Yarrowia lipolytica: one gene and its partners. The protein of the gene in region 1 purifies or fractionates together with the protein of each later gene. This does not show direct contact. Links are inferred from orthologs where the notes say so. Each region holds a gene or a part of one and is shown in the gene's direction. Other genes may lie near its edges. The genes, in order: YALI1_D06276g, YALI1_A21797g, YALI1_F34862g and YALI1_A13100g.

Evidence for each region.
Region 2: the proteins of YALI1_D06276g (region 1) and YALI1_A21797g purify together in Saccharomyces cerevisiae (affinity purification with mass spectrometry, with the first as the bait; 3 studies listed by BioGRID). This does not show direct contact. The link is inferred for Yarrowia lipolytica from reciprocal best matches to the Saccharomyces cerevisiae genes NAM8 and SNU114.
Region 3: the proteins of YALI1_D06276g (region 1) and YALI1_F34862g purify together in Saccharomyces cerevisiae (affinity purification with mass spectrometry; 5 studies listed by BioGRID). This does not show direct contact. The link is inferred for Yarrowia lipolytica from reciprocal best matches to the Saccharomyces cerevisiae genes NAM8 and LUC7.
Region 4: the proteins of YALI1_D06276g (region 1) and YALI1_A13100g purify together in Saccharomyces cerevisiae (affinity purification with mass spectrometry; 5 studies listed by BioGRID). This does not show direct contact. The link is inferred for Yarrowia lipolytica from reciprocal best matches to the Saccharomyces cerevisiae genes NAM8 and STO1.

Annotation. Positions count from the first base shown.
Region 1 is NC_090773.1:625,485-629,625, forward strand, and holds YALI1_D06276g (uncharacterized protein), read left to right. Parts: upstream 1-2,169; coding exon 2,170-3,462; downstream 3,463-4,141. UniProt on the Saccharomyces cerevisiae protein: Component of the U1 small nuclear ribonucleoprotein complex (U1 snRNP) involved in the initiation of meiotic recombination. Involved in the formation of DSBs at recombination hot-spots through meiosis-specific splicing of REC107 pre-mRNA.
Region 2 is NC_090770.1:2,177,891-2,183,378, forward strand, and holds YALI1_A21797g (uncharacterized protein), read left to right. Parts: upstream 1-1,767; coding exon 1,768-4,620; downstream 4,621-5,488. Other genes in the region: YALI1_A21775g (40S ribosomal protein uS12), read right to left, coding at 1-17; YALI1_A21835g (uncharacterized protein), read right to left, coding at 4,668-5,488. UniProt on the Saccharomyces cerevisiae protein: Component of the U5 snRNP complex required for pre-mRNA splicing. Binds GTP.
Region 3 is NC_090775.1:3,484,818-3,488,137, reverse strand, and holds YALI1_F34862g (uncharacterized protein), read left to right. Parts: upstream 1-1,920; coding exon 1,921-2,640; downstream 2,641-3,320. Other genes in the region: YALI1_F34870g (uncharacterized protein), read right to left, coding at 1-1,133. UniProt on the Saccharomyces cerevisiae protein: Component of the U1 snRNP particle, which recognizes and binds the 5'-splice site of pre-mRNA. Together with other non-snRNP factors, U1 snRNP forms the spliceosomal commitment complex, that targets pre-mRNA to the splicing pathway.
Region 4 is NC_090770.1:1,308,135-1,313,142, forward strand, and holds YALI1_A13100g (uncharacterized protein), read left to right. Parts: upstream 1-1,868; coding exon 1,869-4,421; downstream 4,422-5,008. Other genes in the region: YALI1_A13095g (uncharacterized protein), read right to left, coding at 1-1,392. UniProt on the Saccharomyces cerevisiae protein: Component of the CBC complex, which binds co-transcriptionally to the 5'-cap of pre-mRNAs and is involved in maturation, export and degradation of nuclear mRNAs.

The DNA of each region.
Region 1 (4,141 bases):
TACTCGTAACTGGCACCAGTACACGCTGTTCACCCGTGGTGGATCAAGGTTATGAGTATTCGTCTTGTTACTGTAGTTCTAATCTCACGATTCGAAGGTGTTATTCCAAGGCTACCTCCAAGACCCTCTTTTGTCACCCTTCCACTTCTCGTGATCCGAACATTTTCTTGACACCCAGACTGTGTATAATTTACACCCACAGCTAAAATAGGTTAGGCTGTGTGTAACAGTTGAGACGTGGGCGATGTGTAGAAAGTGGGCTGGTGGAGAAAGTGGGCTGATGAAGACACACGCAGTTTCGTCCTGACAATGTTGCCGGCCGTCTCAAGAACGCGATGGATGGTGCCTCTATACGTTCTTCACAATCCACCGCCACTGCCCGGCTGACTAATCTTGCCCCTCTTACTCACCCCCTCCAAACAAGCCAAGCTCATGTCTCCAACAAGCTCAGTTGTGCCTGAGCGTCAAGTAAGCTTTTTGTCGTTTGAGTTTGCTGTTGTGTGATCGCAACGAAGAGAAAGTGGATGTGAGTGCGACTATAGCAACTTGACGGGAGTTGCGGCGATATGATGCGGCTGTGGAGACTCTAGACTTTCCCAGAAGACCGGTCGGCTCCGCTTCCAGCTGCTTACATAAGCACAGCCCCCCAGCGGCCACGTCACTCGACCTCATCTCGTCCCCGACAGTCCCTGCATTCCCATCAGGGCAGGGGTTGGTTGGAATGAGAGGATGTGGCAAGATGGGCACAACAAGGATGGGGGGAGAGGTGTGGAGTGCGCGAATTTTAAAGGGGCTCAATCTCCGACGGTTTGGTCACGTGCCACACTTGTCCCACCCCTCCGCCCGCTGGCCCCTAACAGCGAGCTTATGGTGGATTGGTCTGGCTAACAAGCTTCCGATCGCTGGCTCACTATTTATAGCTGAGCAAGTTGGAGGAGGAGAGTGAGTCAGTCTGGGTGCCAGGCACGAAGAAGACGACGTGTCACCGTGGTGGACAAGTTGTTGATTAGCAAGGCTTTTTGAGCGCGGTCTCCGTTCAGTGGTTTCGAAACTCTTGTCAACGCCACCGTCTCACCTCCACCACCTGATAAGCTGCTGCTATCCATAGTCTCCAACCCTATCGCGTGCAATTCCTTCCTCTTTTGTGGCTTTGCTGTGTCCCCACCGGAATCGTAGCCGAGATGAAAAATTTAAGAGAGCCAAATGAAAAGGGCAACAGCAAAAAGGGACTTGGTGATGAGCAACAAGCTGGCAATTCTTTTGTTGCACGCGTGAGCTCCTGGTTGGTTGGTATGGGTGCTGTGCACTGATGCACATGCTTCATATAACATGCATCCGTCTCGGGTACATTTGTAGCGAGCTCTCAAACAAACCTCTGTTGTACGATACAGTACACACTGTAGCCGGCTCAACACATTGCACTCTGTACAGCCAGTCGACGGCTAACGAGGCCTTTGGCGCGACCAAAGTGCTGAGAGTGCTGGAAGAGTCCTGTTTCATTTATGCGCACACACTGCTCCCGGATCAGCCGATTGCTTGCTACTTGTAGTGGAAGTGTAGACCCTCAGGCCAAGACAGGACGGGACACACTAAGGCACGGTGAAGGCTTCTAAAAGCGAATACACCGGCAAATAGACTTGCTCCGGCAGATGCTTGTTTGTTTGGCAGGGGAGACTACTTGAGGCACTACACTATCGCAGCGGTCTACCTTAATACTCGTGCTCTCGGGGGTTTTATATTCAACCGAGCGGCGGGATACTGTAATATTAAACGTGACGAAAAGAAAATTAGGGTGTCTACACATAAGCCTGCTCCACGACCCAGCACAAGCACACACACAAACACAAATAAACTCTGGTGACGAAATTCAACTTCGTGCATTTGCATTTTTCCATTTTCTGAGCTTACGCCTTAGCCCTTTGCATCTCCAGACACAAGAGTAGCTAGACCATCGCTGCAAACCGCCGTCGACACCCCCCAGAGAGAGCGCTTACGTCAGGCAGTCACTCTCAGCAAAAAAATAAAAGCAGCGCCTTTCCCCGCCTCGCCATAGCAGCATTCTTTCACAGAGATAATAGAGAAACGGCACTGGCACACCCAAGCACAGTCTCTCTCTCACAGAGTACAACACAACACACCTCTTGTCTCAATCACCCCACAATCCCGACAATGTCAACCATCTACATGGGCGACCTGGAGCCGTGGATGGACGAAGCGGCCATCAAAAACATGTGGGCCCAGGTCATGGGGCCCGACACCAACATCAACGTGAAACTGATACGTGATAAATTCACAGATAGCATCAACTATGGGTTCATCGACTTTGCTAGCCCTGAGCTCGCCGCCGCAGCCCTCAAATTCAACGGCAAGCCCATCCCGGGCACAGACAGACTCTTCAAGCTCGGAGAGGACAACGGAGACGGCGCTCCCGTGGAGTTCTCCATCTTCGTGGGCGACCTCGCGCCCGAGTCCACCGAGCCAGAGCTGCTGCAAGCCTTCAAGAGCAGATACGAGTCGTGCCGGGCCGCAAAGATCATGACGGACCCTGTGACGGGCCTGTCGCGAGGCTACGGCTTTGTGCGCTTCTCCAGCGAGGAAGACCAACAAAAGGCGCTGCAGGAAATGCAAGGATACATGCTGGGCTCCCGGCCTCTGCGAGTCTCCACCGCCACCCCCAAAAACCGACATCACCACCAGCCTTATATGCAGTTCCAGCCACAGCAGTTCCAGCCCCCGGCTCACTACCAGCAGCTGCACTCGCAGCACCCGTTCCCTCATCATCCCAATGGAGCCCCCTCACATCAGGTCCACCAGCCCTTCTACGGTGGGCCCGCACATCCGCTCAACCAGTTCACAGACGCCAACAATACAACTGTGTTTGTGGGCGGCCTGTCTTCGTCCGTGTCCGAAGACGAGCTGCGACAATACTTCCAGGGCTTTGGAGACATCACCTACGTCAAGATCCCACCCGGAAAGGGCTGTGGTTTTGTGCAGTACGTGCAACGACAATCCGCAGAAATGGCAATTACCCAGATGCAGGGCTACCCAATTGGAAACGGCCGAGTGCGGCTCTCTTGGGGACGGTCTCAGAGCCAACAACAGGTCCACCATCACCATCAGTATAGACCCGCCCCACAGCCGCTCATCTACCCGCAAATGGGCATCCCCGCCCAAAACTACGGACCCTACCAGCCTGTGTCGCCCGCACTAGCCCATAGACACGCTGCTCCATTGCAGACCCCTGCTATCGGCGACCAGGAAGGCATGTCCACCAACGCAACCACACTCGCGTACGCCGCCGGACTTCCTCCCGTGACTGGAGCCCCCGCGGCTCCCGGCGAGGACCCCTCGGAGCCCATTCCTGTGGCTCGGCTCAATGAGCTCTATCTTGCTGCTCGGGACGGCCGTTTAGACCGTGTCGAGTCTGAGTCTTCGGGCTACCATGGCGTTTACGCCCAGTAATTGCATGAGCCGGTATAACTGGCGGAGGTAAATAAGAAATGAAAATCGCAGTATGGAGCGGACAAGTAGCAAGAACGACTGGAGATATACTGTATGTAGTGTCGTACTTAGACTACAGGTAGTTGTATTCTGATATGAAGAGTCTGCGTACAACGTAGGATTATCTGTATAGGTGTTTTGAACGGTATAATATCACTTTCAAAACAATTACAGGCACTTCCTTGTTCATTGCTTTTGTATCTTGACTTCGTCTGTCGTTGGTCTTGTCGGATCAAAAGTAATTCCATTCCATTGTGTATACCAGTGGTCAATTTAACCCTCCTAAGCGATAATATTTGGTGAACTCTGAGTGTCTGAGTGAATGGAAGTGAGGGATATTTCGGCAATGAAGACCGATCAGCTACTTGTACACAATTTGTCGTATTATAAGAGAGAGGAAAGCTTGTGTTACTAGCAATCCTACTTCTGGACTTGTATCGTGGTTCTCGTAGATACTGGTTTGAATGCATGAGGTCAAGATGCAGGAATGCATGAGTGTGAAGAATACAATGCTTGTGTATATCCCCAGTACACAAGAACGTAGTGTGCGGTAAAATAATATATCAATCAAGGGGTTCCTGAGTATACATTGGTATGTGCAGTTTCATATAAATGCAAGTATCTGATACGTTACGTCTGA
Region 2 (5,488 bases), on another chromosome or scaffold:
GGCTTTCCGTTACCCATTTTTGATTATGTTCTGTCGAGTTGTAGGAGAGAATAGAAGAAGTTTTCCAAATTCATTATGCTCCCAGCGCCAGTCGGGAAATCCCTAACCTTGCTGTCGTGTGTTCCTAATTTGGCAGAGTCATCACGTGAAGTGTGACTGCTAACCCTAATGCAGCTTAGTTCCAACGGGAGAACCCTAACCCTACAAATGGGCAGAGATGAGGAGTATTCAAAGAGTCCGTACAACTGACAAAGACTGGAATTTTTACATTTTTTCAAATGTTAGAGTACATGTACAATTTCGAAGATGTCTTCCCAGTGAATTTTTCGAAGTTTGATATTTCAAATCCATGTCGACAGGTATTTCGTCAGCTCTCAATACGTAACCACAGCAACCCCACGAAGTTAATCGAGGTTCACAAGTGCTTGTCAGATGTCTGATAGGGTCATTTGAAACATGTCTTGTCAGTGTGGGACTGACCCAGATACAGCAGTAGCTAGAATATGTACTTATACATATCATGGGCGAGATACTGGAATATGGATTGTCATGAACGGGCTTTCAATAATATAAAAGGGTTTCAGTTAGCCATAGTGGTACTGGTACGTACATACTAGTCTCACTATCGCAGGGCCACCATGATCAAGAGAATATGCGAGATCAGATGCAACTGAGAGAGAGCGTGTACTTGTATGAGCACCTGTAAGTACTGTACACTGTAGATTGAGAAGGTATTGAGTTAGGTTTACCACTGATTGGAGGCCTGAATGAATAGCTACTGATGGTAGATCTTGTGCTCGTACTGTATCTGCACGTCTGCAGTTTCTCCGATCTTGGTGTGTCAGTTTCACATTACAACGTGTGTGGATAATACCATGTAGGAGGCAACTAGGAATTGATGGAAGGCGCACTCATCGTATATTCTTGCAAGTCGAAGGAAGCTGTCTAGATTCAATAGCTCGTGAAATGCCTCGGCTTGTGATGTTTGGCGCTCCTACAGTAATTACAAGTATGTAGGTACTTAGAGCTCTGTTACGGAAATTCCATATTGGGCAAGGCAGACACTGTGAAGTGGCAAGGTGACCCAATACTTGTATGATATGTGGCGATTATTTCTCCAGGACGACTGATTCATATACAATGCCAATCCATTATTGCCTTATTTTCCATGTTCTGGTGCTCACATTGCTCTACTTCAGGTCCACGGTTTGGTTCTCATAGCAGTACAGTACACCTACAATTTCGCACAAGTGCAGTATGGACTCTCTATCTCTATAGTGAGTCCAATGAACCGCCCCAACGGTGGTGAAGAAACACATGTTTTGAGAGACCGAAAGGACAAGAGAGGTAATGGGACCTCTCAAGAGGACCAAATGACAGATATTGTTCATTAGAATCAACTACTCATCTCTATTACCGTTATTGTAGCCGTTGTATCACTCACTATTAGGGTCATCTCAGATACGGTTACGTGTTTTGAGAATGTTCTGGGAGCGATGATACTTGTATTGTGGCGTGATACCGAGCAGGAGCAATAAATCGTGTTTTTATAGTGTTTGTTTAGTATTCAACATGTCGATATGACACCATTATTAAAAATCGTAGTTACACGTGCACACAGTTCGCACTTTTACCTGCAAGTACACTAGGTCCTCGTACATATCACATCACCTACAGTACAAATTTACTTACCTCACTGCCGTGTCTGTGAAGGTTCATTTATACCTTGCATAATTGGCAATTATTTCCAAACCCAACACACCATAGATGGACGACTACGACGAGTTTGGTAACTACATTGGCGAGGAGGTGGAAGAGGTTGTGGCCAACGGCGTGGAGGAGGTGCATATCGAGGAGGACCAACGGATCCCCGACAGCGACGATGAAATCGAGGACGACAGCAAGACGGAAATGGTGCTCAACCCCGACACGGCCCATCTGGCTCTGGAGCCCATGGTGCGAGATATGGAGGTGGAAGGCGGCAACCAGCAGATCACGCTCCACGAAGACAAGGTCTACTACCCCAGAATGGAGTCTGTGTACGGTCCTGGAGTGGAAATCGTTCATAACGACAGAGATGGGCAGAGCCTGGAAGAACCCATGGTAGAGCCTGAAAGAGAGGTCATCAAGGAGGAGGGATTGCCGGAGACCACATACCAGCGCGACTACCAGGTGGCAATGATGTCACAGACGGAGTACATTCGAAACGTGTCGATTGTGGGCAATCTTCATCATGGAAAGACTGCATTATGCGACATGCTGATTGAAGCGACACACAAGCTGACAGACGAGCATTCGGGCCATATCAACGGACACGTGTCCAGATACACAGATACTGCGGCCGTGGAGATCGAGCGAGGCGTCAGCACTAAGACCAACCCCCTGAGTATGCTGTTGGCCGACTCCAAGCACAAGTCGCATGCCATGACATTTCTCGACACTCCCGGTCACGTGAATTTCTACGACGAGGTTATTTGTGCTTTGTCCATCACCGAAGGAGCTCTGCTGGTCGTGGACGTGGTGGAGGGACCTTTGGCAGGTACTAAGGAGGCTATCCGCAACGCATTCAGACACAGTAACACTCTGACTCTCTGCATTAACAAGTTGGATCGGCTGATTCTGGATCTACGACTGCCACCGGCCGATGCCTACTACAAGATTGCCAACGTGATCGACGAAATCAACATATTTATTGCCTCCGAATTTGGCGAGGAGCGGTACTTTGATCCCCTCACCAACGTCATGTTTGCTTCGGCCAAGTTCCGATTTGTGTTCACTCTGGAGTCCATGGCACGCAAGGTGACCCCCAACTATACCGCGCTGACGAAGCGGCTGTGGGGAAACGTGTTCTACAACCCCGAAACCAGCGCATTTTCTACACAAGCATCTTCCACGGCCAAACGAGCCTTCGTGTACTTCGTACTGGAGCCTCTGTACAAGGTTTTTTCTACCTGTCTTGGAGAAGAGCCTGAGAAGGCTGTTAATATGCTCAGTTCTCTGAAGCTGCCCAAACATTCTCAGAAACTGGACGCAGAAGACCTTATCAGAACGGCATGCATCGCCTTCTTTGAGACCTACTCTCCATTGGTCGACATTCTAACACGATACATCCCGGCACCAAAGGTGGGCGAGGAGAAGGAAGAGGCCGAGAAACCTACAGTTGTCAAGGTGGCCAAATTAATTGCATCAGCCGACAGAGAATCGTTCTATGCGTTGTCTAGAATCGTTTCTGGCTCCGTGCGACTGGGCCAGAAGGTTAAGGTGTTGGGTGCCCATTATGTGCCCAACGAGGACGAAGAAGATTGCGCGGATGCAACTATCACAGACCTGTTTGTGTCCCAAACAAGATACAAGTATACTGTGGTCTCTGCGCCTGTGGGCAACATTGTTCTGATTGGAGGTATCGATAAAACTATCATCAAGAATGCCACAGTGACCACAGACAAGTCCATCTTCCCCTTTTCTCCTCTACAGTTTACTCCTCCAGTTTTCAAGATTTCAATTGAGCCCGTGAACCCTTCAGAGCTCCCCAAGATGCTTGATTCTCTGAGAAAGTGTCAAAAGTCCTATCCCCTGCTTCAAACTAAGGTGGAGGAGTCCGGAGAGCATGTCATATTGGGCTCAGGAGAGCTTTACGTGGACTGCGTTATGCATGATATGAGACTGGTGTTTGCTCGTGACCTTAATGTTAAGGTGTCTGACCCCACAACCCGGTTCTGCGAGACTTGTGTGGAGTCCAGTGCTATCAAAACATACGCAGAGACCCCCAACAAAAAGTCCAAAATCACAATCATCGCCGAGCCTCTGGAAGAAGACGTATCAAAGACCATATCTCTGGGCCAAATCACACCTACAGACAAGCAGGGCTTTGCAAAGCTCGGATACGATGCTCTAGCGTCTAGAAACGTCTGGGCATTTGGTCCTACAGAGACCAGTCCTAACCTGCTTCTTAACGACACGATTCCTGGTGAAGTCAACAAACAGCTTCTCAATTCTGTGAAGGACAGTGTTGTTCAGGGTTTCATGTGGGCTACTCGAGAAGGTCCTCTGTGCGAAGAGCCTCTTAGAGACGTCAAATTTAAGGTGATGGATCTTGATTTGGCTGACAAGGCCATTTTCCGAGGCGCTGGCCAGATCATTCCCACTACCAGACGTGCATGTTACTCCAGTTACTTGCTGGCTGGGCCTAGACTTATGGAGCCCATCTACTCTGTCCACGTGACCTGTCCTCATGCTGCTGTCAAGGTTGTTCTTGAGGTTCTAGAGAAGCGCCGAGGTCATCTCACTTCTGACACTCCTATTGGTGGCACTACTCTCTACGAGGTTATGGGCTACGTTCCTGTCATGGACTCGTTTGGTCTTGAAACCGACATCCGAGTGGCTACACAGGGTCAGGCTCTTGTTTCTCTCATCTTCAACGACTGGCAGGTTGTTCCTGGAGATCCTCTGGACAGAAGCATTAAGCTTCCTTCTCTTCAGGCCATGAGCGGCACTTCTCTTGCTCGAGACTTTGTGGTCAAGACTAGACGACATAAGGGCTTGTCGGACGATCCTACCGTCACCAAGTACCTCGATGACTCGTTGCTGAAGACTCTTACAGAGAGTGGCCTGTTGGGATAAGTATATAGATTGTATTATAGGTTACATAAATTAAATTAATCATTATATCATATACTATTGCGACCCACGCTAGTTATTGGAGCCAAGCTAATGGTCTGTCCACGGCTGAAGGCGTATTTTGGTTGTTCGTCGGCGAATTCAGGCTTTGAGCGTCGGACATGTCGTAGCAGCTCAGCCATTTCTGGCTTTGTGAGTCCTTCGAGATCTTGGCAGGAGGACACCTCTTCCACATGACGAGTGTAGAACGCCGCACATCTGTCCAGGAGAAAGCTGTTGTCGCAAGTGTAGGCAGCTTTCCACAGCTGACACATGAGCACGGGGTTCAATTTGATGAATGAAATTTTGTAGTTGACAAACTCGTGCAATTGTTGAACCTGATATACCTCGGCAAACATCATGAGTTTGAGCAGAGTATCGAAGTCGTCAATGTGGGGGTCAACACCGTAGATACAGTCCACCATGGCTTTGACCCACGTATGGGGATGCTGTGAGAGACTCAAGCTTCTGTTCTGTTGGTTTTCAATTGTCGAATCTCGGTCACATATGAGTTTGAAGTGAGGCCATCGAGCTTTCAAAATCAGAGAATGGACGGGCACTTCTCCTGATTCAGATGCAATGACAAAGTCGCAAGTGGAAGGGTCATCCAGAGCCTCTTGAATGATTTCACACTGCTCAAACAGAGCCGGATACTCAAACACGTCGTTTTCTTCTTCTTCTTCTTCTTCTTCTTCCTCTTTATTGATAGCTTCTGCGTCCATAATTCCGAAATCAAAAGTGCCTTCTGAATTGGGCCGTTCAGGAATCTGTTCCAGTTGTTCCTTGATCTGCCGTGGAGTATGTATGGGTGAATCGGAGTTGGGTGTAGCTG
Region 3 (3,320 bases), on another chromosome or scaffold:
CGATACAGCTGAAACAGCTCTACATAGTTGCGAGTCATCATGGCTGTCTTCACCTGCAGCGCGTGCTGCACAGGCTCGTAGTTTGCTGCCTCTTCGTCGTCCAGCAGCTCAACCAAAATGTCGCCAACCTCTTGCTTGTTCTGTGTGTGCAGCAAGTACAGCAGCCGGTAGGCAAGAAACTCCAGCCGGTTGCCGGGCAGGCCCTCTTCGTACAGCGTCTTAAGTTGCGCCTGACACTGGTTGTACTCGCCCAGGTCGCTCTTTTCCAACGCGATACGGGCGTGAATTTCGTATACCTTGACCGTGAATGTCGTTCGAATACGCTGCACCGTTAGGTCTTGCCGCATCGACTTAAACTGGTCACAGATGTATGCGTAGTTCTGGTCCTGCTTCCACTTGGTCATCAGCAGCTCCAGGGTGCGTTCCAGCACGTCCACGGGCCGAACAGTATCGGGATTAGGGGCGGAGGTCAGCCGCAGGTACTTCTTCTCCAGGGCAGTACTTCGTCCTACAAGAGGCTGGTCGGTGGTCACTTCGGGGGCTGGGGACGCGTTAGCGTTGCCGACTACCGCTTGTTGCTCGCGCATGAAACGCATCTGTCGGTCTTTCCGCGATATGCTTCCGATGTTCTCCACATAGCCCTCCCCATGCTTGCTGTTGGTCTTCGTCTTCTTTGGGGGCATCGTGGAGTTGAACTGTTTCTTGTTAGTGTCAAATGCAGGTCGTTTCTTATTGTTGGTGTTGAGGTTGTGGTTGTAGCCGTTGTTGTTCATGTGACCATTGTTGTTACTATTCGTGTAGCCGTTGTTGGTGGGCAGGAAAACGGGGAGCACCATTTTACTCCAATCGATCGAATATGCAGTATTGGTGTTATACGCCTCGGTGATCACCTTACGCAACTGAGCCTCCATGATAGGCTTGTCAGGGCCGCTAGGACATCGTGCAAAACACGCAGCGGCAAACTGTTTGAGTCCTTCAGGCCAGTCGGACGCCGACCCAGACGTAGGAGGAGGTGGCGGAGGCTGCACTGGTGGGCGAGCCAGAGATAAGCGCGAGTTCACGGGTGTGTCTGTATTAGTGACGTGTTTTGTGACATGACAGTTGCCACGGTTATACTCACACTTGTGGTTCATGTTTAGAAGCGGGAAAGAATCTGTGTTAATACTTTACCTGTGTTTGTGTTGTTAATGCGAAAATGAAGATGCTTCTGAGAGTACAGTAGCACGTCGTTTTGTCGGAGTTTAGTGTGTTGGGTTGTGAGGAGAAGAAGATAACAGTTGCTGGCTTCAAAAAATATTGAATCCAAAATTCATTGGACATGTGTAGGGTTAGGGTTTGTCTGGCGACGGTAGGTGCACATGAGATTACTTGCGTGTATTGCATCATATGGTATGAGTGTACGTTATGACATAGACAAGGAGAGGTACTGTAGTCGGTACGAGTCGTTCCAGGCGGGGCTTTGAGTAATATATTTGCCCATGCAGAAGTTGAGGGAAATATTGTACTTGTACTTAATCGGATGAAGCTCACTAATTACTGTACTGTAAGCTCTTCCCGTCTCAACCCCTCAAAACACAGTTTCCACTAATTAGACGTCTTCAGACAGTGGCAAAAAAAATGAAGACAGTACATGTAAATGGATGCCTGAGGTGTTAGAAATCCTGAGCTTGAGCAGTTTATCTGCTCTCAAATTTTTTATTCAGTAGGTTTCCAGCAAATTTCTACAAGGATAAGGTCCCCCTTTGTATCCATACATTTCGTTTCACTTACTCTCTAGAATGCATGGTACAATCCTTCGACTGTTTGAACTATCTAACTTTGGGTTTCTGCATCTGCAAAAGATCCACCACCAAGTATCACCATATGTAGTACATTCCTCTTTTACAATCAACAAATCACACAGCATCACACAGCATAGAAATGGCCGCGGAACAAAGGAAGCTACTGGAACAGCTCATGGGAACTGAGGCTCTCGAGTCGATTCCCACCCGTCAAAAGATTGATCTATACGACCCCAAGGTGTGCCACTCCTTCACCGTCGGTCTCTGTCCTCATGATCTGTTTGTGGGCATGCGGTTTGAGAAGGCGTCGTGCAACAAGCTGCATCTGGAGCAACACCGAATGGAATACGAGCTGCTTGTGGAGCAGGGTCGAAATCTCACACCTCTGGAAAAGGAGTACGAGCGAGAACTGGCAAAATACGTGGTGGAGTGTGATCGAAGAATCGAAGAGGGACAGCTGAAACTGGAGGCGACCCACGACGAAGTCAACCAGATTCGGGAACTCACAGAAAAACTGGAGGCTCTAGATGGGTCTATTGCTATGAGTGTGGAGGAAATCAAACTGCTTGGAGAGCTGGGCGAGATCTCGCGAGCCTTGGCTGAAATGCAGCAGCTGGACTCGAAACGAGCGGAACGAGCGCTACGAGAGCGCGAATTGGCGAAAATGATGACTGTTGCGGGTTTCTCGGGTCACCAAAAACTCCAAGTGTGTCCCCCTTGTGGCGCTTACTTGTCGCGTCTGGACACTGACCGGCGTCTGGCTGACCATTTCCTCGGAAAAATGCATCTAAACTACGTGACGATTCGAAAGGAATATGCTCGAATCAAGCAAAAGCTGCGTGAGACTGGAAGACGATAGGTGCGAGTGGTTGGTCACCGCACAGTGCGGAGCGGTAGTGCAAGTGACTGACGAGAACGCCGTATTCGATCATTCGATGAAGGTCCCCGCATAAACTTGGTCGTGTGAATGCGTTCAGACTTGATACTGTTCTCATGCTAGAAATTAGAAGCGACGGCTTAACAACTGCGTCGAAGTGTGATCAGTGGTGAAGGGATCATGGTGGTCTCCATACGTATTTAATGTATATACACCTTAGATGGTTTGGTAATGGATAATATAATGTGCAAGTAGATACAGGCTACAGCACGCACTCAGTAGACCATATTCGTATTCAGACAGAGTATGGCACAATCAGGAACTAGTGTACACCTCCAAGATTCGATCATGGGCTGGCTACATGTATAAATAACGGAAGAAACGTTTGAAATGAGAAAGCTGAAGTCTACTGGAATTAGGAGATACATGCACGAGTATAGTTCCGGTACTTGTAGAGTATTGTGAAATTATATATCTCCATTACACACACCTTTAACTGCCTATGCGGGTGATCTATAGACATAACCTCTAGTTAATATGAGACGTACGAGTAAGTATCAATGCTCGTAAAAAAGTGTACAGGATGTACAGGTTCACAATTTTATAGCTGCTCCGTTACCTGATTTGCGACTTCTCAACGGTTCTGATTTTTCGCAAGCGAG
Region 4 (5,008 bases), on another chromosome or scaffold:
GCAGACCTTGTCCAGAAACTCTTCGGCATCTCGAATGGCAAGATGCATCTGTCTGCGTTCTTTTTTCAACTTCTTCTTTTCGGTCTGGTCTGTTGTTTTGCTCATGATTGTACCCAAGTGCAGTCGACGGTTTATGAGGTTGTCAATGGAAGCACGGAGCACGTCGGCACCCGGAGGGACTGCGGCAGAGGGTCGCACATGGGCTGCGGGAGCTGTGGGCGGAATTCTGCTTCTGCGTATGGCTTCTCGCAGAGCAATGGTTCGCTCGACGAGAGCTTCATTCATTGTACGAGTGTTGCCGCCTTCTAGGGCAGGGGGAATGGATGGCGGCGTTCCCTGGGACAAGGTGGGGGAAGATGGGTCGAGAGGAGGAGCAGGTGATGCAGAGGGTATGGAAGCAGGTGTACTGCTTCGAGACAAGGACGCTGCTCCACTGCTAGGGGGAGGTATGGCGGAGCTATAAGATGCAGCTGGGCCTGTACTTGAGCTTGCAGTTTGAGCTCCGATTGGTATTGGTGGTAAAGATGTACCCGAGGGCGGTTGTGTAGCAGCAACAGGAGCAGAAGGAGTCGCAGGTTGTTCTCCCGAAGCACTCCGGTCCGAGTCTGAGACAGCTACAGCCAAAGTGGCGCCGGTGATGGATGTCTGCGGTGCTGAGGGTTTATCAGTTGGTGGAGATTTATCGCATGTCTCCGTGGGAGCGTTCATGGGCGCCACAGGGGCCTCCTCTTGGGTCTCCATGTGTTCAGGCACAAACATGGTCTCGAAACTATCTAGAGAGTCGTACTCGCCCACCCACTCAAACTCTTCGATGTTGTCCACGTTCAGCAGGGCGTTGCATCCGTCCAGTAAGGACACATTGAGTCGTCGAAACTTGTCGAGGTTGCGTTGCACGAAAATAGCCAGGCCACGCTTGTCGCGTTTGATCCTCAGAGTACTGATTCGGTCCAGGGTTTCGGAGAACAGCGTCCTCACCTCGCGTCGTCGGCGCAGTTTGAAGGTCTTTTCGATGGTCGTAGCAATGTCGATTGGCTCGGAGATGCCCTTCAGCATGTCGCCTAGCTGGGGGTCTGTCCTGGTCAAGATGTACTCTTTGATCTTGCGCGATACAAGTATCAACTTGGAAGCTGAGGAAGCCGGTTGCAAAGACTGTTTTTGTTGTTTCTGGCCACCACTGTTGCTGGCTCCCATGAAGCTAGCCAGCCGAATCAGCGTCTCGTCGGTATCGTTGTCGCTGATGGGACACAAGACATGTCGGGCTGCCAGGGTGGACACCAGAGACACCGAGCACCGCTTCAGCCACAGCGCCTCATTTCCCAGAGTCGACAGATATGCGTTGAGATCATCGTTGAACTCCAGGTATTCCGCATAAGTGGATTTGAAGCCCAGCATGGGATAGTGTGTTGTAGCAGTTCAAGATCGATCTCGTGTTTAGGTAGAAAACATGTATCACGTAAACAGACTATCAATTATATAAATGGTGTGAATATTTGGGGGGGGGGGGGGGGGGGGGGTAGTGAGTGGGTAAAGCCCTTCCATTCAACAAGTGTATATCCAAGTAACACTTTTTTGTGTACATACTGGTCATGGTGCATCATCTGTAGTTTTTCATTTTGTATTTTTTTTTAGTTTTTTTTTCAATTTTTTTTTCAATTTTTTTTTTCACAATTTTTTTCTTCATATTTTCTTCATAATTTTAATCATAATTTTAATTTGCCACTAAAACAACATCCGGAATCGAACACACAACTCTTTCTTCCCTGAAGCTATATGGAAAATCTCCAACCCTAACCCGCGCTCTAATTATTTGTCTACATAGTAGTAGTGGAAGTACAGTCCTGTACCAATCTACCAACCACACAACCATCATGTCGTACAACAAGCGAGGACGAGATGACGATGACGGGTATGACGGCGGGCGACGGCAGCGACACACGCAGACCACGCACCAGATCTTCGACCGGCTGTACTTTGACATTGTCGAGATAGGCGACCCTTCTCGAATGTCTCTGACAAATCGAGTTGCTCAGGCGGGATTCGGATTTGCGCAGGATCTGGACAACCTGGCGATCCGAAACGGAGTTCTCGAGACATTCATTGCCACGATCATGGAGCAGCCCCACAAAACACCGCTGGTTGCAGCCATTGTTCTCGTGGCCAACTCCTCCAACTCGCTGGCAGGTCAGCTGGCAGTGGAGCATCTGCACAGCAAGATTGAAGGATGGCTCAAGCAGGGCAACTATAACCACGTCAAGATAGCCGTGCGACTTTTGGCCTGTCTCGAAGGAGCCATTGAGGAGGGACGAGGAGTGCTGGTTTTCCTGGATCGACTGTTGGATCGAGCAATTGAGCGGGACCAGGCCAAGGGTAGCGAGTCGCGTGATCCCCTGGTGGAGGAGCTGTACGCCACCATATTTCTGACTCTTCCCTACATCGGATCCACTTTGGTGTCTCTGGGCAAGTCTGTGGAGGCCTGTGATCAGCTGCTGGAGAAGGCCAACGGTCATTTCGGTATCGAAAAGTTCCTGTCGAACCCCATCGTCGAGCCCTACACCGGCGACGACAAGCCCTACGAGTGCGATCTGTTCCTGGCCAACCTCTACGAGGGAGTCAACTCCGTGGCCAAGGACGGATGGGCCGTCAAGTCGTTCATCAACGTGTTAGAACTGATTGAGCCTGTGGTGGAGAACAAGGAGGTGACCCAGAAACACGTTTTCCCGGCAGTTTCTATTCCCGAGACTCTGGCCGAGTCCACTTCCACAGACTACATTTACCCCAGAATCTTCTTCCGAGCCTACATGCCCATTGACGTGGAAGGCGAGGCCATGAACACGGTTCCAGACCCCAAGTCATACGACGCTGTGCTGTGGAGAGACATGCTGTCAGACACCATCCAGAATCTCGACTTTAACCGAAAAGAGTGCGCCAAGCAGCTGTTCACCCTTGATCTTTTCCTCAACAAGGGCACCTTCACGGGACCCGGAATCTCGGTAGACAAGCTAAGTGGCAAGTTTCTGGATGCCAAGGCCGACGACAGACCCATCTCCACTCTCAAGGTGGAAGACGTGGCGTCTGAAGCCATCCTGGCAGAGCTTTTTCGGCTCGCCACGCCTCCTCTACAGCCTGCGTACTTTCATTCTCTGTTCATCGAGGCATGTATCATGGCTCCTCAGGCCATTGCCCCTGTTTTCGGCCGAGCGGTGCGGTTCCTGTTTGCCAATCTGCGGTCGTTTGACACAGAGCTAATCCACCGGTTCCTGGACTGGTTTTCGCACCATCTGTCCAACTTTGGATTCACCTGGAAGTGGCAGGAGTGGGTCGAGTACGTCGATCTGGAACCTCTGGACCCTCGGCTCGTCTTTATCAAGCAGCTCATCAAGAAGGAGCTCCGTCTGTCATTCGAGTCGCGAATCAAGGAGACTCTCCCCGACGAACTTGTGGTGTTTGTGCCTACTGACGGCGAGTTGATGCCAACCTACGAGTACATTGAGTCTGAGAACCAGTACAGAGAAGTCGCCGACCAGTTGTTGGACGTGTTCAAGGACAAGTACGACCAGGGTGTCTCCGAGACATACCTCGAGGTGATTGATTCCATCAAGGAGGCTGTCCCCGACAACAGAGAGCTCCTACTGGACATTGTCATCGGAGCCGCCATCTTTGTTGGCTCTCGATCACTGTCTCTGTCCCAGGACTGGATTAACCGTCTTGCCCAGCAGCTCCAGCACGTGATTGAGTCTGCTGAAGATGAGTCTGCTGCCGTGACAACCGTCATGCAGTTTTACCGAAACCAGCCCCATGTAGGAACCGTTGTTCTGCACTTTTTGCTGCTTGAAAACGTCATTTCGCCTGCTGCTATTATCACCTGGCTGTTTGAGTCGCCGGGCGATGTTGTTTTCACCGAGAACCACGGCTGGGAGTGTCTGATTCGAACTCTAGATGAGGTGGCCCAGGAGGGAGAGGTGCAGGATCACGTTGGACCCTTCAAGAGTGTTTTCGAGTACCTGGCCGTCAAGGACTCCGACTCGGAGCAGCTCGGATGGTGGAAGCGACAGGTCACCAAGTCGCTCATTCGAAAGTACGTTGATTACATTAAGAACGAGCAGATTCTCGAAGTGGTTCCCACCAATGTCAAGGACATTGTCGGCCAGTATCTTGCTGTTCGACCCATTGTGCCCCGGAAGAAGGTGATCATCGCCGAGCCCAAGGTTGAAGAGGATCAGCCCATGGCTGACGCTGCTGCCAAGGGTGTCACCGAGGCCACCTCGGCTGTCGAATCAAAGGAGACCAAGGAGGCTGAAACCGCTGCCGAGCCCAAGGAGGCTGAGGTCGCAGAGTCCAAGGAGGCTGAATCCGCTGCCGAGCCCAAGGATGCTGAACCCGCTGCCGAGTCCAACGACAAGGACGAGACAATGCAGGAATAAAACATAGGTATGTAATTGTAAATGAAATGGATTGGATGGGTTTCTGTGAGTTTTTGTAGTGCTCGTAGGACATCGTATTCAGAACCAAAAAGTACATACCCTGCTCAATGACACAACTGAAAAGTACTCGACCGGAGCAAAAAAGTCACATGAAGAACACGTGGATGGACGACACCGGAATCGAACCGGGGACCTCGCGCATGCTAAGCGCATGTGATAACCAACTACACCAGACGCCCCTTGTGTTTTCTGTGAGCCCACCTAATGTGTGTCAAAACAAATGTTGCCAAGAAACTCCCCAAAAGTGACCCAAAAACGACCATAATTTGCACCGTTAGATACTGGTGGATTTAAAAACATCCTAATAATTGCTATTTTGTCATTATGTTCATTTCTGGGGCGTGATGGGAGAAAACTGCCATTTTAGACCAAGGTGGAGTGCATAATACATGCATAATCGACGCACATAAAACGGGTTTTTGATAAACTCTAAATTTGGCGTCTTAGTTCCACATCTCCACATGTCACACAACGGGGATGATCAGACGGCGAAGATACGTATGTTTTCTGCTCAAAAAACTTCAGCG